Linked DNA regions of Danio rerio. The protein of the gene in region 2 binds, or shares a complex with, the protein of the main gene of each other region. Links are inferred from orthologs where the notes say so. Each region holds a gene or a part of one and is shown on either strand. Other genes may lie near its edges. The genes, in order: stac3 and cacna1c.

The links.
Region 1: cacna1c (region 2) and stac3 share a complex: the UniProt entries of both Homo sapiens proteins name them as parts of the calcium channel complex. The link is inferred for Danio rerio from reciprocal best matches to the Homo sapiens genes CACNA1C and STAC3.

The regions. Positions count from the first base shown.
Region 1 is NC_133184.1:263,003-279,111, forward strand, and holds stac3 (SH3 and cysteine-rich domain-containing protein 3), read left to right. Parts: upstream 1-1,657; 5' UTR 1,658-1,805; intron 1,806-4,048; exon of another isoform or gene 4,049-4,140; 5' UTR 4,141-4,184; coding exon 4,185-4,201; intron 4,202-4,280; coding exon 4,281-4,359; intron 4,360-4,824; coding exon 4,825-4,981; intron 4,982-5,164; coding exon 5,165-5,262; intron 5,263-5,343; coding exon 5,344-5,404; intron 5,405-6,630; coding exon 6,631-6,728; intron 6,729-7,107; coding exon 7,108-7,174; intron 7,175-7,949; coding exon 7,950-7,996; intron 7,997-9,395; coding exon 9,396-9,487; intron 9,488-9,862; coding exon 9,863-9,914; intron 9,915-10,675; coding exon 10,676-10,813; intron 10,814-11,569; coding exon 11,570-11,668; 3' UTR 11,669-13,268; downstream 13,269-16,109. UniProt on the Homo sapiens protein: Required for normal excitation-contraction coupling in skeletal muscle and for normal muscle contraction in response to membrane depolarization. Required for normal Ca(2+) release from the sarcplasmic reticulum, which ultimately leads to muscle contraction.
Region 2 is NC_133179.1:20,898,303-20,914,847, forward strand, and holds the start of cacna1c (voltage-dependent L-type calcium channel subunit alpha-1C), read left to right. Parts: upstream 1-5,719; 5' UTR 5,720-6,111; coding exon 6,112-6,238; intron 6,239-7,002; exon of another isoform or gene 7,003-7,251; intron 7,252-9,722; coding exon of another isoform or gene 9,723-9,850; intron 9,851-10,113; coding exon of another isoform or gene 10,114-10,154; intron 10,155-10,315; coding exon of another isoform or gene 10,316-10,459; exon of another isoform or gene 10,460-10,487; intron 10,488-11,226; exon of another isoform or gene 11,227-11,433; intron 11,434-14,165; exon of another isoform or gene 14,166-14,804; coding exon of another isoform or gene 14,805-14,862; intron 14,863-16,545. Other genes in the region: dcp1b (mRNA-decapping enzyme 1B), read right to left, coding at 241-321, 2,130-2,291, 2,389-3,015, 3,099-3,224, 3,331-3,454, 5,152-5,218, 9,723-9,850, 10,114-10,154 and 1 more. UniProt on the Homo sapiens protein: Pore-forming, alpha-1C subunit of the voltage-gated calcium channel that gives rise to L-type calcium currents. Mediates influx of calcium ions into the cytoplasm, and thereby triggers calcium release from the sarcoplasm.

The DNA.
Region 1 (16,109 bases), on a different chromosome or scaffold from region 2:
AAAATAAAAGTCCTGTTCACGTGTTAAATTAAAGGCTTGTAGGAAGACTATTCATTCATTCATTCATTTTCTTTTCGGCTTAGTCACTTTATTAATCTGGGGTCGCCACAGCGGAATGAACCGCCAACTTATCCAGCACATGTTTACGCAGCGGATGCCCTTCCAGCTGCAACCCAGCACTGGGAAAACTATTGTATATTGTTTACAAAGAAGGAATTCGATTGGTAACATGTTTTCATTCATTAACAGTGCTCGTTTGTGAACGATTTTGTTGATACTGTGTAATATATATATATATATATATATATATATATATATATATATATATATATATATATATATATATATATATATATATATATATATATATATAATCACATAATCATCATCATTATACATAAAAACCCAGAAAGATTTGTACACCTGAAATATATTACTGACCTATTTCTGGTATATTGTTGTTTTGATTACTCATATTGCTCTCATTTTCAGTTGCTTTGAATAAACGTGTTTGCCAAATGCTTATTGAATGTATGAATTGTATGTGGCTGTTGTGGAATAAAGCTGTAACAGCTGCCACAAGCCCCTGAACATTGGCGTAAATAAGCTTTTAATAAGCTAAATCCTATTTTCTGGCACTTGAGCCAGAGAGTCACAGTAATAGATGAGATGTGCTACTGTATGAATATGTCATTTTTGTTTTTTGAGATATGATGAAAGCTGGAAAATGAAGCTCATGTTCTCAATCTTTTGTTTAGTATATCCATTATTGTAAATTTAGCAATCAGTGTAGCAATTAGTGTCCTGGGTCTGCCCCGAGGCCTATAGGTAGGCGTTCAGGAGGCTTCTGAAACAGATGCCCGAGCCACCTCAGCTGACTTCTCTGGATGTGGAGGAGCAGCGGCTCTACTCTGAGCTCCTCCCAGGTGACAGAGCTCCTCACCCTATCCATAAGGTTCATTCCGCTGTGGCGACCTCTAAGCTGAAGGAAAATGAATGAATAAATTAATATATTTCCTGTGATTGGTCTGTACATGTTTGGAGGACCCCAAGGAACCTAACACATTTTTTTTCCCCAGGGCCAGCCCGAACACCAGCCGGTGACCCACTCACACCTGCGGCTTCTCCAGGATGGACGTCCAGCGTTCTCCAGCCTCAATTGGTCAACTGGTGAAGTTCCTCCTCTGTCGCCACTGTCCTGCTTGGTTTGGGACTTGTGGAGATGCACATGGATGGATTTGCTCTTCAGTGTTTGGACTCTCAGCAGTGAAGATTCAACCACACTGAACTGAACTGAGCTCTGAACACTGGACTGACACGGCTTCAGTTCACTAGAACTTCTGTGTTCAGCTGCTGCCACACAATCTACACTGTAGAAGAGCTGGAGTTTTATTCACTTGGCTAGAAAGTGCTTCTTCATTAATGAATTAATTAAATATATTTATTACTGTGTGACATTAGAGAAGTCATAATGTTTAGTAAAAAGGTGCTGTTCAGCTGCAGGCCTGCTGTGAGTGTGTGAAGGTCTGCATGTGTGCCTGTCTGTCAGAGGGACAGATATACAGAGAGACTCGTATTACTCTCCGTCATCTAACACCTGCTGAAAACACTCACAGTGACACACACACACACACACACACACACACACACACACACAAAGTGTTCAATCCTCAGTTCAGAGCAGTCTGGTTATTACTGAGTTAAGATTATCTTCTGTGCTGAAGCAAATATTAACTTATCTGTATCAGGGTCACACCTCACTGACTGAAAACTGGGATTATAGCACAGAAACACATCATCTACAGGTGTGTATGCTTGAACTTGCTTGTTCTGATGGCATGATTTAGTGGTTGTGTGCATTTAAATCTTTTCTATGTATAGTCTAGAAAACGTTTCTGATTTGTTCCTGTAGCTCAGTTTAGTGAGAGATCCTGAATTTGTTGGCCTCAAAAAAAGTTTCCAACTCAGATATAGAAGTTGTGTGTGTGGATTTGAGGATTTCATCATGCTCTCATGTGTACAAATTAACTGTGAAACCTTTTTGTGTTCATTTATTCCATAATAAACAGGTGTATGTAGGGTGTGACATGATCATTGCACTGCATTCGCCACCCTGAAATTACTTTATTTTCAATAAGAGAACCAGAAATCTGTCTCAACACGGAGTGGACATCCTCAGATTCCCAATTTCGCACTGCAAGGTCAACATTAGAAACACCCAGTGGTGGAAAGAGTACAGTAAAATCATGCTTAAGTACAAGCACATACTTGCCTAAAACTGTAGTGCAGTAGAGTAAAAGTGTCTGCTGTAAATATTACTCAGTATAGCTTTCAAACGTACTCAAGAGTAGGGAGTATTACACTGTGAAAAGCTGATGCGTTTACATGTAACTTGCACATGTGTGTGTGTAAACGTAAGATTCTGTAGTGCATCTAGTGATTGCCCAGCAGGTACACAATGTCATAAGACGTTAATATTAGGTTAGATTTAAGTTGTGATGTCGGGAAACCAAAATTCAGTTTCTAACCAGTGCAAATCAAATGACGTTGATATTTGGTTGATTTTAGGTTTTTAGAAAGTGACCAAAATCTAATGTCGCGCCAACACCTTAAACCAACATCACATTGACGTCACATACTGATATTATTTCATCAGGTATGGCAACCGAAATCCAACATCTGATAGACGTCATAGTGGTAACGTCCACACAACGTCAAGCTGTAACATCATTAGACGTTGATTTTAGGTTGATTTCAGGTTTAACGTTAGACATTGACGTTGGCCTGACATTGAGTTCTGACGTCAAACTGATTTTCACTTCCAAACAAAATGCACTGTCTCCAAGATGTTAGTGTACAAGGTCAATCTGACGTCATGTTGACGTCTTGTGCCTGCTGGCTGTTTAAGGCCATTTGGCTCATCATATAGTAAACATTTGCCATCTTCTCATCAGTGATGTGCATCTAAACAGTCTCTGGGTCAGTGAGTGTGAAGATTGTGGACATCTTCTTTTATGCACTTTAAATGCTTCTAAACAGTTTGCTGCAATTATAAATCATCTTGAGGTAGTTCATTATGAGGTGACTTACCTTCAGTGTGTGATTTGATCAGACAGGAACCACAGGACTGATCTCTCTAATCTCCATAGACAAGAAAAAATACAGTAGTGACTGCAGGATGAAGGAAATTAGTGGAGTAAAAGTACAGATACTGCAGTAAACGTACTCAAGGGAAAGTAAAAGCCCACATTTATAAAACTGCTCTCTAAATTACAATTCCTGAGAAAACTACTTTGTTACAGTAAATTGAGTATTTGTAATTAGTTACTTTACACCACTGGAAACACCTAATCACAGCGGCTAATATGTCAGTGATCATAGCACTTTACAAACATGTGTTTACAAGTCAGAATCTAATAATTATGATGATTTGTCAAGAGAGATATGAATACTCAGACCACTTCAGGAGGTGTTCTGATGTGCATGAGAGATGTGCTCTCGTTTAAAACCACATATTATGCGCACATGACGATCCACATTTCTTACAGGATGCTCCACTGACCTGTGGGGTTCCCCAGGGCTCTATTTTGGCCCCGTTGTTATTTTCCATTTGCATGCTCCCTCTCTGATCTATTTTGAGAAAATGTGGGCATCGTTGCAGGAATTACACACCGGTTTACTTCCCAGCACACAATTTAGTTTTTAATAGACGTTTAATAGACATCTAAGCATAAACAGCTTGGCTAAAACAAGACTAAACTTGGGCTGTCAGTGAAAATCTAATAGACATCTAAGAATAGCCCAAAACTAGACTATAGTCGTCAAGTGGACAGATTAGACAGACTCTATATGTGTAGTCCTTCATTTCTGTTTATTTGATGGCTAGTCTAGTTTTAACCTATGGACGTCTATTAGATGTTCAGCCCAAGTTTATCCTTGTTTGAGCTGAGATGACATTGTTTGGACGTCTATCAGACATCTATTAGACATCTTTTAAAAACAAAAAATGCTTGCTGGGTTGCTAGTGGTTAATGTAAACGCTTTTCAGAATCAGACAGATATCTGATCAGAGTAAACGCATGAAGAGAGCAGGTGTACACAAGCTGGAGTTTTCTTGAAGCTGGTGAGTGTCTCCTGCAGGTGCGGATTTCTGCTGACTGACTGCGTCTGAAGAGGCTGGACTGATGGCTCAATATGACCAGTGAGTGTTTGACAGATTAAACAGTCTTTCAGGAGCATTATATAAGATTACAGCTATCCTAATGCTCAATGTGTTCCAGACTGGAGGATAAAGACTCGCTGGACATCCACGATAACCCTCCAGCGCCAGAGAATGTGGTGAAAGAGGACGACAACACTGTACGTATGATCACCTTCTCTTATTAGCTCTCATTCAACACACATTTGTAAATACAGGAGTGAATTATTTGTGTAGCACAAAGCTTCCTGAAAACCCTATTCACAAACACTTGTCAGAACTGAGATATATTTAAATATGAACTGTTGTTTAACTTATTAAACTAAATTAATTAATAAATAAAGGGTGTGTGCTCCCTCATTCATAATCTGCATAAACCCACCTATGCCGGAAATCAAAATGCTCTGCCATCACTTTTGATTTGATTAAATATTAGTCATTTTTAAGCCTTGTTAAATTGAACTTTAGCTACTGTTTTTGCATTCACTAACATTAACTAATGGACTATTATTGAGTAGTGTTTTCAACGTTAGTTCTGCTGGGGCTTCATAAATGAGACCTGCAGTGTGTACGGTGAGCACACAGCCGACTCGGTCATCCTCTCAGGTGTATTTTCTCATCCTCAGGTGTATTTTGTGTATGATGAAGAGGTGGAGGAAGAAGAAGCTCCTCCGCCACCCACCCCGGAGCCCATAGTCCAGGTCAACGACAAACCACACAAATTCAAGGACCACTACTGCAAGAAACCCAAGTTCTGTGACGTCTGCGCACGGATGATTGTTCGTAAGTTCACATTGATAGCAAGTTACAATAACAGCACACATATTGTCTCAACCCTTTGCCTCATATGTTTGCATTGTTAAGGTAAACTGTTCTTGCCAAAATGAATGATCAGATACACACATAAGTTGCAGAAGAAACTCTACGATATGAAACGTATGCGCTGTGTGGTGTCTCTACTTTCAGTCAATAATAAGTTTGCGCTGCGCTGTAAAAACTGCAAGACCAACATCCACCACTCCTGCCAGTCATACGTGCAGTTCCAGAGATGCTTCGGCAAAATAGTGAGATGAAAAAAATATTTAATATACATGATTAACCCAGACGCTCAGCTTGAGTTTGATTAATCTCCCTCTCTCCATCAGCCTCCTGGGTTCAGACGGGCGTACAGCTCTCCTCTCTATGACCAGGAGATCAATAACCCGGGTGAGTCACATGTGTTAATAATCAGAGGTCATTTCTGATTTACATTACCATTTAGTCATTTAGCAGAAGCTTTTATCCAAAGCGACTTACAAATGAGGACAAGGAAGCAATTTACACAACTATAAGAGCAACAATGAAGAAATGCTGTAGGCGAGTTTCAGGAGTGTAAAGTGTAAGAAGCAAAGCATTAGTAATTTATTTCTTTTGTGTAATCCAGTTAGTGGTGGAGCCAGAGAGGCAATTGCAGATTAGGAAGTGAAGTGGAAAATAAACAGTTGAGTTTTTAGTCGTTTCTTGAAGACAGCGAGTGACTCTGCCGTTCTGATGCAGTTAGGGAGTTCATTCCACCAACTGGGCAGATTGAGCGCGAGAGTTCGGGAAAGTGATTTCTTCCCTCTTTGGGATGGAACCACGAGGCGACGTTCATTCACAGAACGCAAGTTTCTGGAGGACACATACATCTGCAGAAGTGAGAGCAGATAAGGAGCAAAGCCAGGAGTCGCTTTGTAGGCAAACATCAGAGCTTTGAATTTGATGCGAGCAGCAACTGGCAGCCAGTGCAAACGGATGAGCAGCGGAGTGACATGTGCTCTTTTAGCTTCATTAAAGACCACTCGTGCTGCTGCGTTCTGAAGCAGCTGAAGAGGCTTAATTTACATTAAAACAACTCTTGATGATGATGATAAGGGATGAAGCTGTGTTTAAAACACATTCAATATGCTGATAATTGTTGAAATGTGTACTAAACAACGAGAGATGAAGCTCTCTGCTCATGTAGTCTGTTATTTTAAAGCTTTAGCTTTCGGACTATAGATAGATGCAAAAGTTATAGATGCTCCCTCAAATAGTCCACTATTTAGGAGAGTATAGGGGTTAATTTTGAACACAGCTGTTGATTAGCTTGTTCTAGTGTGTTTGATGCAATAGTATCTGAATGCAGCCTTTATGATGCAAGCTGTGATTATATCACTCAGCGATGCAATGTCAGACACAGTGCACTCAATGGAGTGAGTGACATCACTGTGACGGGTAGGGTAAGGGGTGGGGTTTGGTGAGAGCATTAAAAAGCATTGGATGCAGCCCAGATTGCATCTGCGACAGCTCTGCATCCAGACATCCTCGATTGATGAGGGTTGGACTAAACTCTGCAGGATTAAGGCCCTTCAGGAACAAAGTTCTCCATCTCTGAACTGAACACTAACCTACAGAAGCATGTCTGTGCACAGGTCAGCAGAACCGCACAGATCCGGTGTTCGACACGCTGAGAGTCGGAGTGATCATGGCCAATAAAGAGAGGAAGAAAGGCTCAGAGGACAAGAAGAACGTAAGTGACCACAGGATATCAGGATGTTACTTATGTACCTGGCAGGTCTACTGGAGGATTGGGCAAGCAGGAGCCGATGGTAGTGCATCAGGAGAAGTATGAAGATGAACTGAGTGAAGATGCTGAGAGAGAGCAGCTCCTTCACAATTCATCTTCATAAACACCACGGTATACTTCCAATAAAGTGCTTGTTTTCTTTGTTTGTAGGCAAAAAGAAGCTTAATAAGACTGAGTGAAGTAAACTGTTTCTGTAAAAGAAGTGAGACTTTAGGACCAGACAAGACCTGCAGCACAGAGACTGTTGTAGATGTGTCTGAGCTCTCGCTGTTACCTATTATGAATGAATGAATGTATGTGTGTGTGTGTGTGTCTCCTGAAGATGATGATGATGATGATGGAGGAGGAGGAAGCTCAACAGCCCAAAGAGGATGAAGAGGGCGCTGAGGGTAAGCATATCTGCACCGTGTGGTTTTGGGTTGATTTCGACCTTTATTCTGACATGTGCGTCTTCCTTCAGTCTCTCTGAGGTTTTGTGGTGCTGTGTTCATGTGGTGTACAGAGGGGTATGGAGGAGGCAATTAGCCTCTCCTGATGAGGAGAGGCTACCTGATGAGCCTCTTCTAGTGTGTGAGCATTTAAGGTGCACAAGTAACGCGCTCTGCGCTGGACTTTAGACCTGCTTTTAGATGATCTATTGCACAGTCCATTTTAGTTTCTTAGAATAGCAGTGCTCCAACAATGCGCCTTAACACACCTCCTTTTCAGACCAGAAAAACCCATGCGTCCACAAAGTGGTGCAAATGGATTTATTATTTAAACAACATGGCACAAATTATGAAAATTACTGTTGCATTGGTCTGAAAATAGCAACACATTGCGGCATACCCGTCTTCTGCCTTATTGCACCAGGTGTATGATAAGGCCATAAAACTTGGTCATGTTTTGAGACTGCTTGGATAAAACACAGTCCATTATAAAATGATCTTTGTTTGCAGTGTGGTTATCACAAATGATGTAAAGCATGTTAATGAGCATGTTTTCTTTGAATTCTAGTGATGTCTTGAACTTTAACTACCTTCAAACATGAGCTTGGCCTGCTAATTTAGTTGTTTTATTAACGAGAAAAACATTTTGAAGGGAGGTTGCATCCACACTGGCTTTATGTATGAATTACCTACAGAATTAAGTGCTGAATGGGCATACTGTATACTTCATTGATAGGGAAGCAAGATGGAGACAAGAAAGACAAAACCGCAACAGATGACAAGGTAAAAGACTGCTGTGCTGTGCTGTGTGTGTCAGAAAAGAAAAATAATCCTCTTTTTAAGATTGGACTGGCATGTCAACATTAGGAAGCCTTTTCCTAGCTTCATGAGCCTTGACTCCAGAATCTTACTGGTATTGCCTAAAAGCTTCAAGTGTGCCTGCACTGACATGAAATTCTGTTCTTACTTAAGAGTCTGTGTCCTGTTTTTAGTCCATTATCTAAAAACTCTTAAATCAAGAAGCATTTATAGACAAGCAAAACAATAGTGTTGTTTTCAGAAATAATGAGTCAAAATGAAGAGAGTTTTTCATTCAAACAAGCAGAATAATCTTATTTTAAGCAGAATGAGATTGTTTTGGTTCCCCATTGACACATTCTTTAGCTTGTTTTAAGGAAAAACTTGCCTAATTTTGACATATTATTTCCAAAAAAAAGACATTTGAGAAAATGCTTCTTGATTTAGGAATTTCTTTATATTTGCACAAGAAAAAAGACACAAAGGGGTTTTGCAGTGTACTAATGCCAATTCAGTTTCTACTAATATTTAATTTTACTTTCACTATTAATATTTTTAAGAGGTTTTTCACCTTTATTATGACAGGACAGTAGGGAAGTCAGACAGGAAAGCACCGGGAGCAGAGAATGGCAAAGAATCTGCAAATGACCTTGAGCCGGGAATCGAACTCGGGTCACTGTGAGCACGTTGGTGTTATATGTCAGTGCACAATACCACTAGGCTACTGGCGCAGACCACTTCCACTATTAAAAAGCTAATTAAAAGTATAATGTTGTGTGTCGACGCCAGTAGCCTAGTGGTTAGTATGTTGACACAAAGCACCAATGTGCTCACGGTGATCTGAGTTCGATTCCCGACTCAAGATCCTTCCCCATGTCTGCTCCCCACACTTTCCTGTCTGTAAAATCTCAACTGTACTATCCCAATAATGATGAAAACCCCTAAATATCGTTATATAAAAAAGGTTTAATGCTGTGTAAAAGGTGTTGAATACTATTTTTTTGTTATTTACTGTTTGTTGTATTTTTGTGGGTCAAACATTCACTCATTAAATGCTGCTTGTTCAAACTACTGATTTAAAATGAGTTGAAACAGCACAATATTCAGCAGTTTTTGAGACACGTAATTGATTTATGATTTATGATTTATATTTTATCTACTTGAAGTTGTAAAAACTGAGCTGGGACCACTTGAAGAAATTGTGTGGAACCCAGTCTTTTATCCAGTGTTTGATGGTTGTGAGTGCACTTGTTTTGCATTTAATGACGGTGGGCATTGCTTTAACAGGCAGAGATGCTTCAGCGTACTCATGATGGAGTCTGAATCTGCCTCTGCTCCTGATCCTCCTTTAAACTCTCTAACAGACTGTATTTGATGATTGCAGAACAAGAAGCAGCAGCAGACCTTCAGTCAGTCGCATTATTATATGGCTCTGTATCGCTTTAAAGCCATCGAGAAAGATGATCTGGACTTCCAGTGAGTCTCATACAGCACATTCACATATTTAATATCAGTCAGAGTCATGAGCCGTGTTGACATGCACATATTCTCATGTAAACGGTGGAAGATGGAATTTAAAATGCTTAATGAAACACCAAGATGCAAATGAATTGTGGAAATGCTCAAAAACTGATGCGCTTTTATCTCATATGAAAATAGCAAACTTTTTCTGTCTGATTTTTGCTCCTGTTCATCAGCCTGTGGTGATTCTGCTCTCTTTGACTCATTGATGGAAACACTGCTTTACTCATAAATGTTATATGAAATATTCCTGATTTACACAAGTCTAATGCACATCTTTTGTGTGTGTGTGTGTGTGTGTGTGTGTGTGTGTGCACGTGTGCGTTTCAGTCCAGGAGATCGTATAACTGTTTTGGATGACTCTAATGAGGAGTGGTGGAGGGTGAGGTTTTTAATCTATTTATTTGTTTTATTATTATATTAATCTTGACGGCTGTACTTTCCTGTTCTTTTTGGGAATTTCTCCAACATTTTTGTGATCTATTCATGTTAAATACTGCCTTGTTATATTTATCTAGGTTCATTTATTACCTCCCCAAAAAAGTTACAGGCTGCATTTTTAAGTAGTAATATGTAGGAAATATAACGCTGTAATGTTAGATATTAGCATTTTGAAATGATGAGAGGAGAACTGGTGTTGGAGAACATAAGTTAATATAAGTTAATTAGGGTAACTAGGCAGGTTAGGGTAATTATGCAAGTTATTGTATAATGAAGTTTTTTTCTGTAGACTATCGAGAAAATTATCGCTGAAGGAGCTAATAATACTGACTTTAAATGGTGTTTAAAATATTAAAAACTGCTTTTATTCTAGCCGAAATAAAACAAATAAGACTTTCTCCAGAAGAACAAATATTATCAGACATACTGTGAACATTTCCTCAATCTGTTCAACATCATTTGGGAAATATTTAAAAAAAGGGGGGCGAATAATTTGGACTTCAACTATATATATATATATATATTCACATAAATTCACATATATCATATCAAATTCACATATATCACATATATGATATTGCATATCCATATATATCATATTTTTTATATAGTACATTCTATATTTAAATATATTTTCTGTAGCCTTCTGTAAGACACTGTATATGGAAAAAATGATTTTATCAGTTTTCTGTTGTGTTAAAGGGCAAGATTGGTGAGAAGACGGGTTATTTACCCATGACCTACATCATCCGGGTTCGAGCTGGCGAGCGGGTTTATAAAGTGACCCGATCATTTGTGGGAAACCGAGAGATGGGCCAGATCACCCTGAAGAAAGACCAGGTCAGTCTGAGCTGATGGAGATCTATAGCTGTGCCTCCATCCAGATATTTCTATGTGCAGTTTGGATTATCACATAAAAAATGCATGACGTAGACGCCAAGATGCGCATACAGATGGAAAAAGTGCATGAAAACTGATGTTCACATCATGACTGGTATAAACGTCTCATTCAATAAGAAAAGAAGTGTGCATAAACTACAATGGACACTATTTCACCAGATAATCCCAGCCATCAATATTTATGTGTACACTTGTATAGCACTAGCTAACTCCATTAGTGTCTGTGGGAAATCCTGAGAGAAGTTTTACTTAAAGGCAAACAGAGAGTTTCGACAGACACCATGAAATAATAAATGTTTCCCCACTGCTATTGTTAAACCTTTTGATTTTAAAGTTAATATACTTTTACTCTGTGTAAATATTATTGGACAGCAAACTTAAGCAAACTAATCAATTTAAATTAAATTAAGTTAATATTTCTACACCTGTTTATAAGGGCTAATTCACCCAGACATGAAAATCATGTTATCATTTACTCTCCTTCAACATGTCTCTCTGTCTTTCTTTCTTTCTTTCTTTCTTTCTTTCTTTCTTTCTTTCTTTCTTTCTTTCTTTCTTTCTTTCTTTTTTTCTTTTTTCTGATGAACACAAAAGTAGATTGAAAAAAGCTGGAAACCACTGACTTCTATAGTATGTGTTTTACTGATTGGTATGTGAGCAGTCGTCAGTGTGTTTGACTGTGTGCTGGTTCTGCAGATCGTGGTGAAGAAAGGAGAGGAGGTGAACGGATATTTGAAGGTCAGCACTGGCCGTAAACTGGGCTTCTTCCCTGCGGATCTGCTGCATGAGCTCTGATGATCAGCAGAGAAGGATGAAGAGAGATGGAGCATGCACACAGCGGCTGCGTTACACTCCACTTTTACACACACACTCACAAACATCCCTTCACTTGTTCCCTCAGCGAAATCCCTGCCGCTATTATGAAGTACATACCTGTTCATCAAGTGAACGAGTGAAGATTTAGATGTTGACCCTAGCTTTTGTCAGATTTTTCAAGTCTGGTTCATATGTCCAATATATGTCCTAGAATGCGATGTGATTGTGACGTCTCAACAGTGTAGTGCTCAAGTGCTCAAGGGCTTAGGGCACTCCATTTAAACCCATTCAGATGCTCCGCCAGTAGTGGACACATATGTAACCTCATTAATGCTGTACATCCAAGGGAACGAGATGAAGGGAAGTTAGTGAGTCAAGAACATAAAATATTGTACTGGAACGCAGCCCCGGTGTCATTTCAACACACAATACACTCTTCCAAATAAATGTGCCATGAAGAGCCAAATCAGGGCTTCACAGTCATCATTAAACAGACATAACTAGAGTAAGCTTTGATTTGACATGCCGTCCCATCTGACACTGTGAAAAGTCTATTTTAGTTTTTATTTCTGTTGAGGCTGAACAACAGCATAAACTACTATCACAATGATGACCACAGGTGCTGATTATGTGCTGTATTCAGTGTTAAATGCTCCTAATGTCAGTTTAAACACCAGTTTACATGACATTTATTGCTGTACTACTGAAAGCAGCAGCAGATCGTTCAGATCTTCAATACAATAACCAGCAGACACTGTGAGAATGAACATCAGGACTGAGACTCAAAACAACATCATCAGTCTCTCAGTAGACTATTACTGATGTTCAAGAGCTTTAATATGCATCGACTAGACTAAAAGCCGTGATCATTATCGGGGGTGCGGTGGCGGGTGTTTAAATAGATTGCTGGTTGCTGCGTTTGGTACAGAGAGGGTGAAGGATGGGGGAATGTCTTTAATAGAGATTGTCATTTCTAATTTAACATAACTGTTTGATTGATTGTTTTATTTTTGAGCTACAAAAAAGCTAACTGAAATGAAATGTTAAGTGTTGTTGATTAATCAGATTTTTGTCACTCACTGGACAGAGGAAACTGCAGAAGACATCAGTGAGTTAATCAAGGCTGGTGCAGCTGCACTAGTGTATCCAGCATTGAACTCTGTTGGGTTATAAATGAAGTTGTTCATGTTTTTATTGTAATAAGTTCATTATAAAATATTCTAATATATTATGCATTCATTCATCTGATAAAATTTATTTGTAAATATTATTAAGTTAGGAAATTTAATTGAACTTTAATGTAACACAGCTTTGTTTATTTATCTTCAGCCCACAGCCCTTAATCAACTTTGGTTTTTGACTCTTCATGAGTGAACGTTTGGAGTACCCCTGTCATAGAGGAAGCTTTTAAGATTCCCCAAAGCCTGTTAAAGTGAACAAGTTCTTTAAAAAAGCTCTTAGATAGTGTAAAGAACATTTTTCCCAATCTAAAGTTTTTGTCCCACTTTTTTGTAGAATGAAACACTTTCATGAATGTCTTCTGGACCTATTGATGTCAATAAATAAGCTTTATATTTAAGACTCAAGGCACAATAATAACAATAACATCTTTCAGTGGACACTGCTGTTTTATTAGGATCTGTATCACCGGCCTTTATTCACACTGAATGTTAGGTATTTCAGTGCTAGTTGTTTCAGAATGTCTGTGGTGACTTGTGCCGACATTATTCTCCTGAATCCTCCAAAGTGATGGTCTGATGGTGTTTGTTGTGTCATCGGCCGCTCTGAGGCGCAGATCATTTATCAAAAAAATAAAAATAAAAAAAGAGCAGTGCATGAAACTTCAGAGCTCATTTGGAGCAGTTCTCATGCTGACATTACTCTCTTATCACACATGATGGTTCAGAAACATGCACGTCTCGAGAGCTCTTAATGTGTGAATCAGGCATGTTTGATTAGGCCAGTGGTTCTCAATTTTGGTCCTTCTCAGAACTTACTGGAGGCTTTCACTGGTTTCTACCCCCCTACAAACCCTGATTGAATCTAATTTTGATATTAAAAGTGGCAAAACATTAAAAGAGCTTAAATAATTTCACTCTGAAAGAACAGACTTGCTCAATTCAACATTTTAGTGGATAAAACTCATGGTTTCAAAACTCAGGAGAAAACAACGCTGCATCTCTTTTGAGTGTCATCCTTATGTATGCTTTTGTAGCCAACTAAAACTTCACCAATTATAATAAATAACTTTCTCCTCAAACGACTGAAGTGCAGATTTGAGCATATGTAGAGCAGTTCTGGACACTGCTGCCTGCGTTCTGCCTGCTCTGATCAGTGTCAGCTGCTCCTCATTAATCAGTCAGCAGAGGAGAAGGCGTCAAGCTGAAGACACAAACCCCAAACAGAACACTGATCTGTCAAATTGTTCATCTGTTAGCTTTTTAAAAACAGTAATTAACAATTACCAAATCGTGTTCATATAAAGTGTGTTTGGTGTGAGTCTGTGTTTCTGTAAACATCATTTGACATTGTGTGCGTCTCAATCAGCACTCCTGTTCTATACTCTGCCCTTAATGAACTCCCATCTGACTTTTTTTTTTTTTTTTTTTTTTGGTAACTGATGGTTTAACTGCTTTATAACAGAGCTCATTTTCTCTTTGTCTACCTGAAATGTATTTATTTACTTTTGGTATTGTGTGACAATACAGATTGAGTGATTATAACAGTAAGCAATAAAGTATTGTATATTATTAATCTCTTCCACAATCCCCTCATGCATATCTACTAAATAAATATACACTAGTACTTCTATAGTATTTAATTTCGAATTTTGATATGAAGTTAGTTTTGAAAGTGAAAGATGTTCAGTTTCCCCATGCATCCACTAGAGGTCAGTGAACATCAACACAACAGCACTTGTGCTTTAGTCATCAGAACTCAGCTGTTCTTACTGTATAACAACAAACTGTACAAACAATTCCAATAAAAGACTGAACATCCTAATTTGCTATATAACTGTGTAAGCTGATGTGTGGCAGAAACACATCACTTACAACAAATAGAAGTTTCGAAAAGAAAGTAAAGCATGCATTTTCTGTACATTTGTATAATATAAGTAGTTAAGTATGTGTAATGCACAATCATATTAGACTGGCAATGAAAGCTAATGAATTTCTGGGAATTATTTAGTTGATTTTGCGTAACAGAAACTCTGTGTTTCAGTAAGACTTTATTTTAAGCTCTCCATTTCATTTAATGTACTTACGTAATTAAAATTAACTATGCATAATTTACATGAAACTATCCCTCAACCTTACCCTAAGCACACAGTAAGTCCATGTAATCAATTAACTTATACTATTCAGTAATAATTAGTAATAATTTAATTACTTCCACAGTTACAAAAGCATCTTAAAGGACACATTCTGCTTTCAGGGAAACGCTTTTAATCATTTCATTAAGCTTGGATAAGGCTGTATCAGCACTGGTGGGAGGCGTGTGTTGGTGTCTCACCAGTGACAATATGCTGCGAGTCTGATATTGCATTCAACGGCATAACCATGTTTATAAAAGAAAAAAAACTTAAGAGGAACTACTTTCTTCCGCCATTCATTCACATCTGCAGCTGACATTACTGTAGAGCTATTGAATGATTCTCTAGCGTAATGTCTAACGTGAAGGCTAAACAGCTTTTGCTCACACTTTAAGATTATAAGGCTGAACAACATGAAATGCCATCAGTCTATCCCAGTATTTCTCTGTTGTAATTAGGATTTTGCAATATTTAACCCCAAAAACACTAGCAGATTGTGTGGTATAAATACAGCACTACAACATACAAAACAGAGAGATCGACTCAGAGTGTCACTTACCAGATTTATAATGACTTCTTCAGATCTAGTTTGAAACTTATGTTGAGAAAATGCTGCTTTTCTCCCCTGATTATGCGGTCTCTGTCACCATCTTGTGGTGAAACGGCAACCCTCACTGTCCTTGGTCTGCTCAGACAGGCTGATGGCAGCCGATGCACTGAATCTAATGCTCCGAAATTATACATATTTAAAATTGGCACTGTCCTAAATAAACTGCATAGCTGCAATTTAAACAACTACATTCTCACCTAAAGAGCCTCAAAAGTCCATTATGTTGTCAAACAGCGGCAGTATTAGTCAAACTGTAGAGTGTCCTCTGCTTGTTGCTGTATGTGGGCGGAGTAATGCACAAAGGGTGAAGATGAGTGCTGTTATTTGCAGGATATTGCACGGCTATCAGCCAATCAGATTCAAGAACCAGACAGAACAGTTGTGTGTGTGAGTGTGTGTGTGTGTGTATATATATATATATATTACACATAAAAGGCAGTGATTAAATTCCTGCAAGCTCCTCTAGATTATTATTATTAATGTTTTCATTCACAGAA
Region 2 (16,545 bases):
TAAAACCCATTATGCAATTCTCCTTTGTTAAAATATTAAGATGCTTAAGATTGCAGCTCGTGAAAAAATAATGTAAAATTCAAAGGTGATGTGGCATTTATCATTCAGATTAGATTATTTTGTGGAAGTTCAACTCATTAGATGCTACACTCGAAACAGCAGGGTGGTCCTGAGATGGTATGCAGATATGTGTTCAGAGAGTGAAAGCTACATGTATATGGTTCAGGTGGTTTTCCTGCTTCAAAAAGGTTTTGAGCTGGAGTCTGTTGTGAGACGGGAGATATATGCTTCATAGATGGTGTCAAGGAATGAAGCATCATTCTGAATCACAGAGAGAAACAAACAATTAGAAATACAGCAACAAACATGAGCCAAGAATGCCCCATTGAATCAATCAATCATTTAATGTTTTACACAGTGTTTTTGTTTTCACTTTTGTAACTTATATCTTTAGAGCAGTGGTTCTTAAACTTTTTTCATCAAGTACCACCTCAGAAAAAAAAATAAAATAAAAAATTATTTAAAGGAAGATTAATTCCTATTATTAAGAATATTTATTATTGTCAGCCATTTTAAACATTAAAAATAGTTTGAACATTAACACTGTACTGTGCTTATGGGTAAATAAATAAATAATTGAATAAATAAAAGTCAATGTTTAAAATAATTAAAATGGTAGGCTACTGTTCTCAAAGTAAAAAGAAAACTGCTGTACTTAAATGTCAAGTAGTAACAAATAGTACCCTATTCATTAAAACCTGAAAATGTTGATTGGACCTCATAAACATGGGCTATATGTCATCATATTTATATATAAACCATTTTTGATAAATTTTGAAATATGTGTTGTAGTGTTGTTGTGATTATAAAAGGACTAATTATAAAGTAGAAAAGAGACAGGAGTTAAACATAATTATGAAGGTGAATTATTAATATTACTTGTATAATTAATTAGTATAAGTATCAGTTTGATACACTTAAGAAGAAATTATCGTGAACATTTTTAAATATTAAATAATAATAAGCAAATTATTAAAATACGCATAAACTAATTTGAAAAGGAGAGGGTAAAAATAGTCTAATACTTGCTTCTGTAACAGAACTTTTTCTTTCAGTCTGAAAAACACCTTTACACTTTAGCTATGAAAGCACTGATGCACTGTGTGATCTCTGTAGCACTCAGAGCAAGCAGAGCTGCAAATCATCAGCTCCATGTGGTTTGGTTTATTAATAGTTTTTTGCATATAGATGTCTGTGACAGTAGTTTTTACTGAGCTGATGGTTTATGTGCATATTTGTTGTTCCTTTAGTGTAAGTAAACATCTTTTTGCAGTATTTGCACACAGTTAGTGTTTTATTAGGCTCACTTCACTGCTTTCATTTTACGCTGCCCTGCCACCCCACCTTTTGCTCAGCTCTGATGTGCAGGTAAAGCCAGTTTCTGCCTGTAAACAGCGCCCTCTCTGTTCAAAACATGTATCGCGATTCGTTCAAAATTTTTATCGATTTGAATTGTCACAACTGATTTTCATCCGACTCACAGTAAATCATTACATCTCTATTTATCAATGAAGTCTGCACACATCCTAAAGCAAATACAATGCTTGTGGCATTTTCATCACCCAGGATCTGTAAGCACTACATCCTATAAGAACACAAATTTTATAATATAACTTAACTAGATTATATGATTCATAATATTATATAACTTGTTTATAACTTAGTATTATTGTTCATTAAATTATAACTTTGATAAAACAAATCACATAAACTTAATCTCCAGAGCTGCTGATTCATTTCATATGCATTTTTTAGTTTTAAGAACTATTGACCTATCCTGTACACTTGAAACACAATCATCTTCATAAGAACCCATTAAAAGCTTCACTCTTTTAAAACTGTTTAAATGTAAGTTTGGCTTGTTAAATTTCATCACTTGAAATATTAAAATTAGAAGGTTTTGATTACTTGATTACGATTAAGAAATTGATAACTTGAAATCAATCAATCATATCAATTAATAATAACAATACTACTATTTATAATAATAATAACAAATAATAATAATAAAATAAATGCATGATTTAGGAAAAAATGAAATAAAAATTGATTGTATCCTTAATTCTAACCTTGATGAGATGGAGCAATGTGGCCTGTAGCTGAGACTTGCTAAGTGCTCTTGATTCAACTGGTTCTGGATCTGCTCTTGTTACTTTAGTTTGAGCAAACACACTGGGGGAAAGAAGGAGGGTGGGGGCTACAGTCGCTGGGATACGCTGTGGTGACATCACCTGTACCCACACAAACACAGTAAATGACAGGTTAAACGTGCTGCTGCAAGAAACACAAAGGCAACAGATGCATAATTAATCAAACTAAAAATTTGACCTGTGTCAGATTGGTTTTGCTGAGATTGGAGCTGCTGGTGGTCAGACCTGGCTGTAGGACCTCCTGTTGAGGATGCAGCTCTTGCTCCTGCTGCACTAATGTGAGCTTCTGTAGAAGCTCATGAGGTGAAACCACATTACTTGTTACTCCAGCAGAGGGCACTTTATTTGGGACAAACAGATGCTGTGCTGGAAAGGGCCCCGAGGGCTTCGCCATGGAGTGGATTTGGGGCCCCATGCCAACTTCCCCCTGCTTTAATTGGATGGAGGGCATCACTGTAGTCCCTGCCACAGGAGGAGGGTTCATTAACAGTTTTTGTATTGGGTCAGGCTGGATCTGGACTGCTCCGTTTTCACACAGGCGGCTCTCTGGGGATTCAGATAGAGGCTGCAGCAGTGAACCAGACATGAGCTTGTGGATGGCTGGACAGTGCTGCATGGGGGTGCTGGACACCACAGCACCACCTGCTGGAGAAGGGTCATCATAAGACAGAGAGCGGGCCACTGAAGACCTTGCTGGGCCCATCCTGCCAACAGATAAGCTGGGCTGTGTTGAGCCCAAGTCTGGTTTTGGCTGAGCACCAAACAGTGTGACAACTGACAGATGTTTTGAGTCCATCTCAGCATCCTAAGAGAAAAGGATTACATTACATTACATTTAAAAAGGGCTATTTATTGAATCACAAATATGCAGAGAGAAAGAAATCGCACATGCTGAGTGTGTGCCTGAATGTGTGTGTCCTGTGCTGGTTTGAGGGGAATGGGTTTGATCAGATGGGGGGTTTGACCGTAGATGATCCCACCACTGCCAATTTCCTTTGGCTCACTGAGTTTTCCCTAAAAAGAAAAAGGGGCACAGAAACAAATTAAGATTTACAGTGCACTGATGACCTCTAGTGCATATGAAGCAACTTAATGCTTGTACAGAGAAAAGTCTCGTCACCTTGTCATAGTCGTTTCGTGCTTTAGTGAGCATCTGCATTATATCCACACCCTGCTCTGCTGATCTCGGAGAGAGACAGCCAGTAGCAATTTGCGCCTGTAACTGCTGTTCCTGCCCTGCCAAACTGACACAAGAGAAAAAGTAGGTGTACAGTACCTGACAACAAGGTTTGGAAATCAGTGAGCAATTATTGTTGAACAGTTTTATATTTAATACAGGAAACAAAAGATTTTTGTGACATTTGGCTTTATTACAGGTATTTAAAATATCCACCAAATGACCAAATTACAGATCATATTATTTAAATAATCAGTGTTTCATCGGCCGCAAAATAAACAGAAATAATTAAAATTATGTAGACAGTAAAATTTCAGAAGTGACAACAACATTGAAATACTTTTTTCAATTGTAAACATGTCATTTTTAGAAATTTAAATTTAATTTGGTTTGTTAAAATCAGTTGCCACTAGTGTTGGGGAAAGTTACTTTTAAAGTAATGCATTTCAATATCGAGTTAGTCCCCCCAAAAAGTAACAAGTTGCGTTATTTAATTACTTTTTAAGTAATGCATAACATTACTTCTGTCATTACTTTTTTTTTTGCTGGCTGTTTTTTTTAATAAAGGAGCTCTGTAATTAACAATGCACTGTTTAACCCATACATTCATTTACCTAAAACAAAAAAAATTAAATAATTTAAAATTTAAATAATTTAGCATGATGTTATTTTCTGAGAACTTCCTGACCCAAGAGCTATACATGCCGTATATACACACTTTATTGACGTTTAAAGCAATGTGTATGGTACTTTTTGTTAAATACTTTTGTTTTTTGTTTACTTTAGTTAAGTAAACAAAAATGTGTGGTTTGGTACTTTTTGTTAAATACTTTTGTTTTTTGTTTACTTTAGTTAAGTAAAATCACTGCCCATCAAGACAATTCCCTTTTTTCTTTTCTTCAATGTGTTCAAAATAATGAAAATACTTCCATCACAAAAATGTATGACAGCCATCTTCGTTTCTCTCTGTTCCTACGGGAGCACAGTCTCTCATTAATTCAATGTGACTAAGTTAATTTTAATTCAGCAATTACATTTATTAAAAGGTGATTAAATAAGTTAAAAAGTAACTTGCATTAGAAAACAGTAACTCCATTATTATTACTTAATTTTTTTAAGTAATGTATTACTTTTTTTCGTTACTTATATAATATTACGTAACTTGCGTTACTTGTAACACAGCTGTACATTTCTAAACTGTTTACAAAACATATTTAGGCAATAAAGAAGGTATAGACAACTAAATTTAGTTCCATTGTGAATGTGGCCTAAATGGAAATTATATGATAATAGAATGGACTACATGCACAGCTAGTATTTTTAGCCATTGATAAGCTACCAGTGAAAGCTTTACGTGGCTATTTTCAATTTCATTAATGTTCTTTTTACAGCATCAATGTTGTAATGTAATTCAAATACAATCAGTTAAACAGACTTAATCATTCATTTAGTTGTTCAAGTGTAAAATGAGATAAAAGCCTCCAGGAGCTTCAGGCTAGCGCAGAAACTCCATTAAAAATACTGTGGTAAAATAAAATTTCACATTTTAAAGACGTGGTGGGGTAAATGGAATTTAACGCAATGCTTCTTGTCCGGTCTGAGATCCACTTCATATTGTATATCTACCAGACTGTGAAGATCACTGATTTTGAAAGAAATCAGATCTTAAATGTGGCGAATTTGTAATGTAAAGACCTGAAATGCAAATACCCCATTAAGTGTGTGACCATGTTGTGCAAGTTTGCAGATGAAAGATACACATACTTCTTCATGAGTTCTGCTATACGCTGACAGTCCTCTTTATCATAGAACCAGATTCCATAGATGGACACTGCCAAAAAAAAATACACATACATGATAATATTAACCTCAGTCACTCATTTAATTAAAATCAATCAAGAGCAGAAGACTATAATTGTTAAGCACCGTATCAGAATTGTCAGTAGAAGAAGTCCATACATGCACTTAAACTGCCATCATACATACACACTCCACTCTAGCTGACATTCCTTTCCCAGACAGTCCAAACTCCCATGTGCCCAAGTAGAACTGGAGCCAAGTGCTCTGCCAATCCACCAAAATGTCGTTAACCACCAAAATGTAGTTGCCAGATGCTCGCATCAACATTCTGTTGCCTTTTTGAAGAACAACTGTATTGGGAACAACTAAGAGAAGTTTCAGTGACTGTGGTCTCTCATGAACTAAACTTAGAGACTGGTGCTGACAGCCGAATCAGGACCTGTTCCATTCACCTCTAGAAGAGATAACAAAATCCAAGGCAGTAAAAGAGAGGGAGAGGAAGAGAGAGAGAAAGAGGGCTGGTGCTATATTCACAACCGTTCATTCTCTGAGCGGAGAGCACCACACGGGTCAGCGCCTGGGGAAAAAACCCAAACAAAATACTGCCTGGGAACTGAGGAACACAACTCAGAGAAAGAGAGAGAGCAAGGAGAGGAGAACAAGGAGAAGAACGAAGAGAAGGATGAGAGGATTTTGGAAGCGCTTTTGAAGTTTAACTTGGCAAAATACACACACAAAAAAGAAAAGAAAAACAGAGACCTGAACCACACATTGAGTCAGACAGAGTGCAGGAGCATTTGCTGCGAGTTTTACTGAATGGAGCTGAATCCACATGAGCACTGAGGAGACTGTGAACTTGTGACCGACTTCAAATAGACCAAAGCTTCAATCTGCTGAGGATTCAAACCTCAGAAAAAAAAGGAGATGCTGCGGGGGCTGTTCAGTTGGCGCAGGCTGAAGCATGAGCGACTGGAGGAGGAAGTGGAGGTGCGGTTCAAAGGGAAGCTTGTATCGGAGAGAGAGCTGGGCTACACACATGTGCGGCCAGGAGGTAAGAGCTTTGTATACTTAACAGTCCTGCTGAAAGTCTCCAGCTATCCCGTTACAAATCACAACCACAACACTGCGTTTGTTTAAGAGATGAGTGGACAGAATCCAGCACCCTTGGCACACGAGGAGGAGCGATGGACAATGCAGGACTTCTCGCTGTGTGAAACCTAATTAGTAGTGTTTGTTATGGCCATATTGGCTCTACCAAGTATTTAGCTGTTAATCGGGTACTGAAACTGTTTGATCCAGGTCATGAAGGATTTAGGGTGGGACAATATTGGGGGGAAAAAAGTAACTATTATAAGAATTACAACTGCAATTTGACTTGAAAGTTTTATAACAAAAAATGTCAAGGCTATAAAAATATCTTAGCGACTTGTTTATGGCTGTAAAATATTTATGACATGCTTAAATGTTTTCCTTTTACTGAAGAGCCGTGGTTTACTCAAACACGCTCATACATAAATTCACAGCCTTTTGATATACTCACTAAGCCTCATTGCGATTTTGGTTTTATTTTAATTAAACATTCAGTCATTCTGCAAAGAACTCGTGAGGATTGTTGAGAACACCGGAGTATAAGCCAAAACACCTTAGCAATCGCATTGCAATGCACAAACAGCCACTAACAACATTTGACAAATGCAAATCAACTTCTTGGCTACCTCTCACAACATTCCAGCATTGGTGCAGCAAGATTGATCAGAGATAAAATCCCCTCAAGGGGAATTAAATCAGTGAAATAGTCTGCCTGTAAAATCTCACCTACATCAAAGTAGCCAGCACAAAGTTTCCCATCAGACCGTCAGCAGATGCACAGAATTTCACGGTCAAAGCTCATTATTGGACTGGCTGAAACATCAGGATCTACAATGATTTGTTCAATAAGCCTAAAGTAGTTTCTCTACTTTGAAAGCCTAAAGCTTTTCTCCATGCACTCTATTTGCAGGTCTCCTTATCATGAATTTCCTTGGAAGCCTGTGCATGTATGCGTGTTAGAGAGGGTTGTTATCTAATCAGGATTGGTTGGTCGGGTCTATGATGCTGGCAGGAAACTGAAAGAGAAACACACACTTCTCTGCACCATATAAGGCACTGTGGCTCTGGGGCCTCTCAAACAGGCCCGCCTGCCAGCGATCTCTGATCTCTCGTTCTCTCACACACACATACACTCACCAGTATGACAGCTTTTTCAATCTAGACACACTTTTACTGCAATTAAGCTCTGAAGTTTTTGGATGGATGCACTCCCTCTGCTCCCTGCCCATCTACACCTTGGTTATTAACATGTGTTTCTGTTTGACATTGATCCTCCTTAATACATGTCAAAATTCATTTATATCAGTCACATTTGAAGGTGGTCAAACTTTTGTCATTAGCACAGTCGGCTGATGTCTGTGAACACCATCTGTGTGCAGCCTGATTTTTTTTTTGTTCTTGCAGTCTAGTGCATTGAGGGGCCAGTGATTTAATGTGCTTCCACATTCACAGTCAATTAATTTTGAAAGCGTTGCTCACTAAACTGTGCATGAGATGGAGCAGAAAACTGAAAACAAAGTTTACCTGGGCCTTAAACACTCATAAATCTGAACATTAGTAAAAGACTACTTTCTCACCAGACAATCAACCTCTGAGCATTCCAAATTAAACACACATTACCCTTTGTTGTAAATGGTGATGCAAGCACGATCCCTAGACCTATTTGGAAATAAATAAATAAATAAATAAAAATGTCTGGTGATCTCATTTGAACAACCAAAAAAACTATATCACTATTTCACTGCCACTATTAGGGCAGAGCAGACGGATGCTGAGCTGCTTATCTTTTTGGAGGACGCCCAGCACATATTAAATGTGTCTTTATAGTGAACCCCCTTGTCTACCCCTACATAACACAATCATTAAGATACATTTTATTATTGACTAAAATTGTGCACAAGCAAGTTTCCTTTATATTATATAGTCTATTTAGATAATGTATAGCCTGTGGTGCAAACAAATAAGTGCGTAATATATGTTGACCCTGCACCTCATCATTTCTCTTGTTCACTTTCTCTTTCACTTATGCATTCCTTTCTAAAGCTCGTATCCGGATATAAACTAACATCATCACTGTAAGCAATAGTCACAATCTATTTTTTAGATGTCTGGATGATGTTTTTTTCTGTTTTAAAAACATTTTAGATGTGAGTCAGTCTGTTCCTGCAGGCGAAATAGAGCAAAGTGAATTTTAAATGACATCAGTGATAGCTTATTAATATGACCAAATAATAATAATTAAATCACTCTTTATCTTGCCATCTTGACTACCTCATGATAAATTTGTCTAAAGCTGCATGCGCCAGCCCAGGGAGAATGTAATTGATGGAGGAATATTAAAAAATTTCCATTGTAAGCCAAAAAAGGTTTTGTGTGCCTGCATGCAAGCAGTCCTTCTGAAAGAGTTTGTAGCATCGTCGTAAAGCTTTAACTTCAGAGAAGTGCATTTGTTTTCCTGATTAACTGATTACAAAAGATAACGAGCCTGAATGTCCTTTTGTTAAATTTAATTTGACAATAAATCAGCTAAATTCAGGTCCATTCATTTTAATTATATTTTTAATAAAATAAACACATTTACAATTCTAAGGCTGAATTTATGTCCATGCTTTTTCTTTATGCCATTAAACTTTTTTCTCGTCTTTCCCATTTGTCATTTCAAGTGTTAGCAGGTTTGGCATGCTGTCCCGAGAGAGAACCCTGAGCTCGGAGATAATTGAGCCCAGGGCTCCCTCCTGGTCAGTTAGCATGTAAGGAGGTACGAGATCAGGTAGTTCTTGAGAGCTTCTCTTGGTACAGGAGGAAAGGGGAAGATGGGGGGCATGGGGGGATTCTTCAAAAAATTAAAATGAGGGAGTAATGTTAGTCGGGCTATTTATAGTCAGTTTGATATAACGTGCTTCTCTCAAAATTAGTTTGTAAAACTTCACTTACTTTCTTAATTGGTCAATATATTATCTATAATGTCTATATTTTATTGTAACTGTATTTATAGGGCTAAATTAAATAAGTTTAGGTAACTGCATTTCTGAAATAATGTGCTTCATTAAAATATATATCGCTGACATGCTTTACCATAAACATTTGTGAAAAATGTAAAGGTAAATAAATATCATCTAGATAGAATACATTTACTTGACAATCTTATTTTTTTAACCCAATAATGCTGATTATCACCCAATAATTTAATGTCATAATCAACATTAGCCTGCTCAGGAGACATCATTGATATGTGATAATATTTTCTTATCACCCAGCCATCTCTCTCTCTCTCTCTCGCTCACATCACATATATTTTGACACACTGTATTATGTAAGGATTTCTTCATTTAAATCAACTATACATGCATACTTTGGGCTTAGCAATATTTTTGCAGTCTTTTGGTTTAGTCTAAAATATTTCACTCTGATGACTTTGAGCTCGTTCAACAAAAAGACAGACTTACAGCGAGCGTTCCTGTACAGGAGAAATGGATGCTGCAGCTGGAAATCCAAGTCCTTAGTGATTGGTTCAGTCAGGTTGTCCATACTCAAGCGATTGAGGATGGTAAAGCCATGCCTGGGGGAGGCAAGCCTGATACACAGAGAACTGACGTTAAAACTCGTAGCATGAGTGGGAAACTAAAGCTTATGAGTCTGAAGGACCTACAAAACTGCATGTGGGTGTTGTGCAGTGTAAGAGCAGACAACAGTGGTACATCTAAATGCTGAGAAATATTGTGCAGGTTATTTCTCTGACCCTTAGAGCCACATTAGATCTCTAGGGCTCTGATTTAGGGCCATACAGTACATGTGGGTGTTGCTTCACTGTTAAAAACATGTAAGAATCAAACAAACCTGCTATAGACAAACAGAGTTCCCTCCACATTTGTCTTTTCCTACAGAAAACCACAACAAAAACATACATTGATCTATTTATGTTTAAGTCGGAGAAAAATAATATTACAATTTAAAACAATAATATTATGTTTGTAGCAGTAGAAATAAATATCTCTATCCACTAAGATGTTATGTTAAGGGAGATGATCTTGTTGTTTACCCATTCATTGGTGTTGTTGTTAAAGGTGTAGAGTGCTACTTGGCTGGCTAGGTCTGTGATGCTGCTGATGTAGGGGTCGAGTCTCTTCAGAGCAGACAGACTCATTGATAAACAGCTCCCACCGCCACCTGTGCTTGCAGTCATGGCTCCAGCTCGCTTCTGTAAATAAAAACTTATGCTCTTTATTAAGATGTAATTACTCTTTATTAACATGTAATTACTGTACACCTCTATTGTATGGGTCTTTTGGTTCAGTTTGCATGTTTACCAAACAAATATAGTATTGTTTTATCTATCTATCTATCTATCTATCTATCCATCCATCCATCCATCATCTATATGTGGGTGTTGTTCAATAGTTTTGGGATAACTTTGATGAAAGGTTTTGATCCACTTCAAATGTTGTCTACTGTGTACAGAAATTAATGCGTCAGACCTTTGCAAGATTACAAAATGTAACTAAATTCGTTATTCTTAGTTATAAGCATTCATTTATATATTAATTTATACAATGAGTAAAAATGTGTGTGCATAAAAATACATTTCTTAAACTCGCATTCACTAAAATGTGGTTGACAAGCTAACCCTTACATGTAGTTACTATGGTATAACGAGTGGTTATATACTGGCCCGAGTCTAAAGAGTCCACCTCATCCTCGTCTGTATTTATTCTGGTCACTTTGACCGGTTAGGTCACCGTTGATGTTCATAGCACAAGCGCTGCGGGACATCGTACACAAGTTTAACACTGCGCTTGAGCGGTTTGTTAATATCCCTAACCCTGCATTAATAGTGTTTTTACTTTTTAAAAAATGGTATACATCATACATTCATAAGTTTACGAGTGAACTAAATAAGGCCTTGGTGAGCTGCGGTTGCTCTTTTATACATCGTACTGGAGTTAAACTTACCTCCACTTAAAATACGGCACAAATCCTAAAATACCTTTAAAAAGCAAAATTTAACTCTGTAAAAACAACACTTAAACAGCTTATTTAACGATCCGGTCTCCTTGTGTATGTTTTCAGGGATGTGCAAAGCAGTAAACAAGAATATAAGGCTTTATTTCACTTGTCTAACTCTCGTCCCGCTGCCGTCATCGCCATGTTTGCGCTGTCAAGAAGACAGAACGAGCTAATCGCCGAGCGCGCGCAAAGGGGAAAATAGTCGAGACAGAGTTACGGATGAGCCCCCAGCTGGCTCGAGCTCACCTGAGAACGCCAGCACGTTCGTTTACATCACGCTAAAGCAGTGAGCTGACGCTGCAGACTTTCTGCACCCAGGGGAACCCTTGAGGATACGAAATTCTTGCACTCCTGCACTATTGCTGCCTCGGTAAAGACGATGATTTGTAGTTTAGTTTTTGTTGCCTAATTGTTTGCGTATTCTTTCCAAAAACAAATGTTACAGTCCAGAGGCCCTGCTGCATTTGTAAAGTCCAACCGCTGTAATGTTACTGTGATTATTAAAATGGCACATTTCCCACCTGCAACTAGCCTACATAAATCTATAAATCTAAATGTACTGTTGTACCCCATTGAGCAGGGGCGGACTTGGGGCTCTAAGCAATTTCAGGTGTGGGGCCCTAGCGATGAAACTCAAAACACTCTCATTCTCTAAAGATTTTTTTTCAAAATATGTTTTAAACTCCTTTAATCTTCCTTAATCCTCTTAATGTAAAATTAAATACAATAAACTCACTCACACACAAGTTCACAAACTATACTGTATGTACAGTTTACTTGACATATTTATGATTAGTTTTTACATTTGCTGTACGGAGGAACGTTGCACTATTCATGGGGCCCCCGGTTTTAAAAAGAAGTAATGTTGTTAAAATCGTAATGGTTATAGACATTGTCATTTTTCAGGGCCCCATAATTCCCTGTAAGCGACTGCTTACTTCGCTAGTGAAGTCTGCCCCTTGAAATTGAAATAGGGGTTGCCAGTCTTTTAGATGTCATCATTATCGTCTTTAGTGGGACCTCTATCCTAAATGTAAAAGACACCTATACAGGTTTTCCCCATAAGGACCATTTTAAACCATGAAAGAAATATAAATGTATAACATATTGTTACACTGTCTCTCTATCTGTCTGTCTGTCTGTCTGTCTATATTTATTTATTTATAAATATGATTATAAATTTATTTTGTTTATTTAAAATGTTAGGCATTGTATTATTATTATTTTGTATTATCTACGTGTTGTGTTTGCTTTACTATGCATTTGTTTTTCTGTTTATATATATATATTTCCACACACGCACACAGGCTACATTTTTCTATGCTTTTTTTCTCTTTAGCATTTCCACAAAGCTCATTGCACTGCCCCATTGGCACCGGAGCCAAGATTGAAAATCCTTTCCTCTCAAGATAATTTACTCAACTGCACTTTATAAAGGTACCACTAGAGGTCATCATTACCTAAATACTCGTGTTTAATTAACTTGTTCAGCATCATTTCCAACCTATTTCTGAGAGAGCACAGCAGCCCATGCAGATTTTTTTTCTAATTCTGTTAAAGTGATCGTGATGTTATGTACACATCTATATGTTTTAGCTAATTAAACACTGCAGAAAAGTTTTAACCAACATTTAGCCTACATTAGATCTTAAACTTTTATATTGATTACACGCTCAGTTTAAACTGATCAAGATTCTAGTAGACAAGAAAAAATTATGTATATCTTCAGTTAAGCCTAGTAAATTAGTTTAGTAGTCTGTAATTAAAGCATTAGTAAAGGAATCTTGTATGTGGCTGCAGAGCAATCACTGCTTTTATCATATTAAGTGTGCAGACAGATACATGATTCGTCTTGACATTTGAAATGTGGCACTGGAAGAGGATTTTTATAATCTTTGAAGAGGCACGGTAACCAGTTTGCCTTATGTACCGATGACCATGTTTTTTTGGACCCCTGAGTTCCCAGAAACTCATTTTATTACAGGGTGGCACCGAGAAACACATTGCGAACATTTCCTCTGTGCTTTGTATAAACATACCAAAGTTAATCAATTATTTGGGGATGCTGATGGGAAATCGCTGACCTCTATGATGAACTTTTGTCCAAAGCAAAATTCAATCAAAGAACTTGGCCGTAGATTGGAGGTCTGTGAATTGGGAGAGTTGGTTCTTCGTTCAAACAGAGGAAGATCTGAAAACCTGCAGTTCTGTGTGTCTCTTACAACCTCATGCATGCTTCTTCTGACTGATTGAATATTCAGCATATGCAGTTCTGAGCGAGAGTGAGAGAGAGAAGGATAATCTGGGGGCAGAGGATGTCTCTTGGGACATGTGAAGTTTTCTCATGGCCGGAGGGAGGGACCGAGGAAGGGCCTGCTAAATTCAGACTAGACCGTTTGCTGATGAAAGATTCTCCGTCATCTTGCAGAAATTCCCAGGCCCCAGTCGTCCCCTTTTATCAGAGCCTGCCAGTCCTCAGGATACAGTGTGTCCTGCCATGGGAAGATCAGGTCGGTTAAACCTTAGCTGAAGGGAAAAATCATCCTGACACCTGCTGCTGGGGGACTCAGCATTCACCTCAGAAGTGGCATGCCAGCAGGAAGTGGATAATAATGTCTAAACATGGTGCTCAGAGCCATGACTGTGAGCGTATTTATGCCAGATTGGTTGTGGTGCAAATCATCTTCTGCAACAATTCCGGACTGTAAAAGAACTCAAATCTCCTCACTGTATTGGAGCTGACTTGCCTCGATCTTCCCAAGTTTGCTCTCTCTCCCTCAAGAGATACAGCCCGTGTGGAAAAGCGTGGAGGATTTATTCTCCTTTCTAGCGCAGTCACATCTGGAAGCAGTCAGGGAGTCTACAGGGGAGGGGGTTTGGTCGTCAGATCATTGCAGAGAGGCTGGTGGTGTGCGCTCTCTCTCCGCAGGGCCACAGACTGACTACTCCCCTTTCTCTCCAATATGGACTGGACGCGGCCGATTCTGCACTCTATTTCCTAACGAGGCGCGACGCAAACTACGCCTGTTGTGGGACATCTCAGATGGAATCGATCATATGTGAAGATTGAAGCCCGTGAGATCTGGAATATACACACCTTTTACCTTTTGCTGCGCTTTCTGAAACGGTCTCTGAAACTACGCCCGCTTTTTTTCTTCTTCTTCTGGCTGTTGCAGCATCCTTTTCGATCAGTTTGCGAGCGAATCGCGCCGATTTGATTATCGATTATCAGCCAGCGGCACTGCTATCATGTTTCCTTAGGTAGGGCCCGGATGTTCCAAAGATGCACTGGTTCGTTTTCTTAGGTGGCTCCTGCGATTATCCTTTCCTGATCTTTAGCTCCATAATGGGGATCAGGTAATATTAACTAAGCCGCAAGAGGAGGAATATCTTACGCTTTGCGTTTTTCATTTTTTTTCTTCCCCCCTTTTCTTTCATTTCTTTCCCCTGGGTTGTTTTTTCTCCCCCTTGCCTTTTTTACAACCTTTTCTTCATTCACCTTCGGATAAAGCTGGACCACATATATGGTAAATGAAAGCAAAAACATGTACATACCGGAGGACACCCTTGAAAACCATCAAGGTAATTTCTTTATTTGTCTTCGCTCTGTTTGGAAACTATGTGTGTGTGCCATATGGATGCGTTGAGGGCTGTATGATGAGTGTGTTGGCATTATCATGGGCATGACGCGGGGGTGTACCCGAACCCTTCCATTTTTAAACACACTATGCGCACTGAAATCGCCTTTGGAGGAAGATCAACAAATGTCATGAAACAAAACCACTCATTATTTTGGAGGAAAATGCATATATGTAGTTGATGAACTTGTTGGCTTGCTGCTCGATCGGCTGTTTATGGACACGCCACAGCTTGATCATGTATATAGATCATTTGGTCACGGACGCGCAGATGTCAATCGATTAACCTGTCAGCTGCTTCAGCCTTAAAATGGCCTTTTAATCATTTTGTGCGGCCCAGACCGCATTGATCACAGTCCAGCAGCTCAAATGAACCCGGGGTGGTGTCATCGGCGCATCAGTTCACACAGTGATTATTCTGTCCTGAGCATCTCAAATGGTGAAATGAAGCACCGTCAGTCATGCCCCGTTATTCTCCTGTGCATCTGTTGAATCCCCTGCTTATCAAACAGCTGGTGTGGCGCAGCAGTCTCCACAGGTTGCGCGCCTTTAATGCTCGAGAAAAGCGTCTTTTCCCATCACAAGATCCCCCTCTATCCAGGGCCTCTAGCCGTCGCCTGTTGGCGCCGTGGCAACGGAGCTGCCGACCCATAGCAACAGCGCGGCTCGCGATAAGCCCGCTCCCCGCGCGCGCACCTGCCGCACCTGAGTGAACAAACGCATCCGAGCAAAGCCTGTAAATTGCTGTCAATAATGTAGCCCCGCCCCCTCAGGCCTATTGCACATCTGTCATGCATAAAGCCAGCCAAATATGACAGCCGAAATAATGATGTTTCTTTAGCGCTGTCTGTGAGGGACAGCGGTGCTTTTTCAAAGCCCGTTTGATTGAGAGAGTAAACTGGCATAAACTCTTTGCTGGTTAAAAATAGACGCACAAGAAGGACACAGTTAAAAGGAAAGAAAAACTAATTTTAGATGCTTTGTTTTGGCAGCTATATGACAGTAAACGCGTATCTTTGATCCACATGTCTTTTTGTTCTGTTTAGAGTTAAATCTTACAACTTTCCTCTGGATTTTGAAACATCACAGCTGTGCACAGCTCACCTGTCAGTTTCTTTAAGATGCACTTATTAAATTAATAATTGTTTGCTAATGAGATTTTTAAAGTCTTTTGATGAATATTCAAAAGTATTCTCTAACCCCCTGCCCCCCTCTTCCATCACATGGCCTGCAATGACAATCTTTGTCATACAAGCCACTTTTTAAAGGGAAGGATTATCCAAAAATATACTAAAAGTAAAAAACATACTATTTGTATACCATAGTTAAAGGGCAGCTATGATGAAAATCTTTTTTTCGTAAGCTGTTTGGACAGGTATAGTAAGTCCACAGCCATATTGGGGTGATATAAAGACAATAGGTCTATTTTTAATTACCTGATGTTAAAATAGGATCCCATCCCTCCCATTTCCCGCCCACTAAATTGATTGACAGCCACGTATTAACAGGTTTCCATAGTAACCTGTATAATCATATCAACCAGACAGGATGTGCGCAAAGCAACTGGGATTAAAAAATCTGTTCAGCTATCTGTGATCATCAATCATCATCAAATGTGATCAGGACT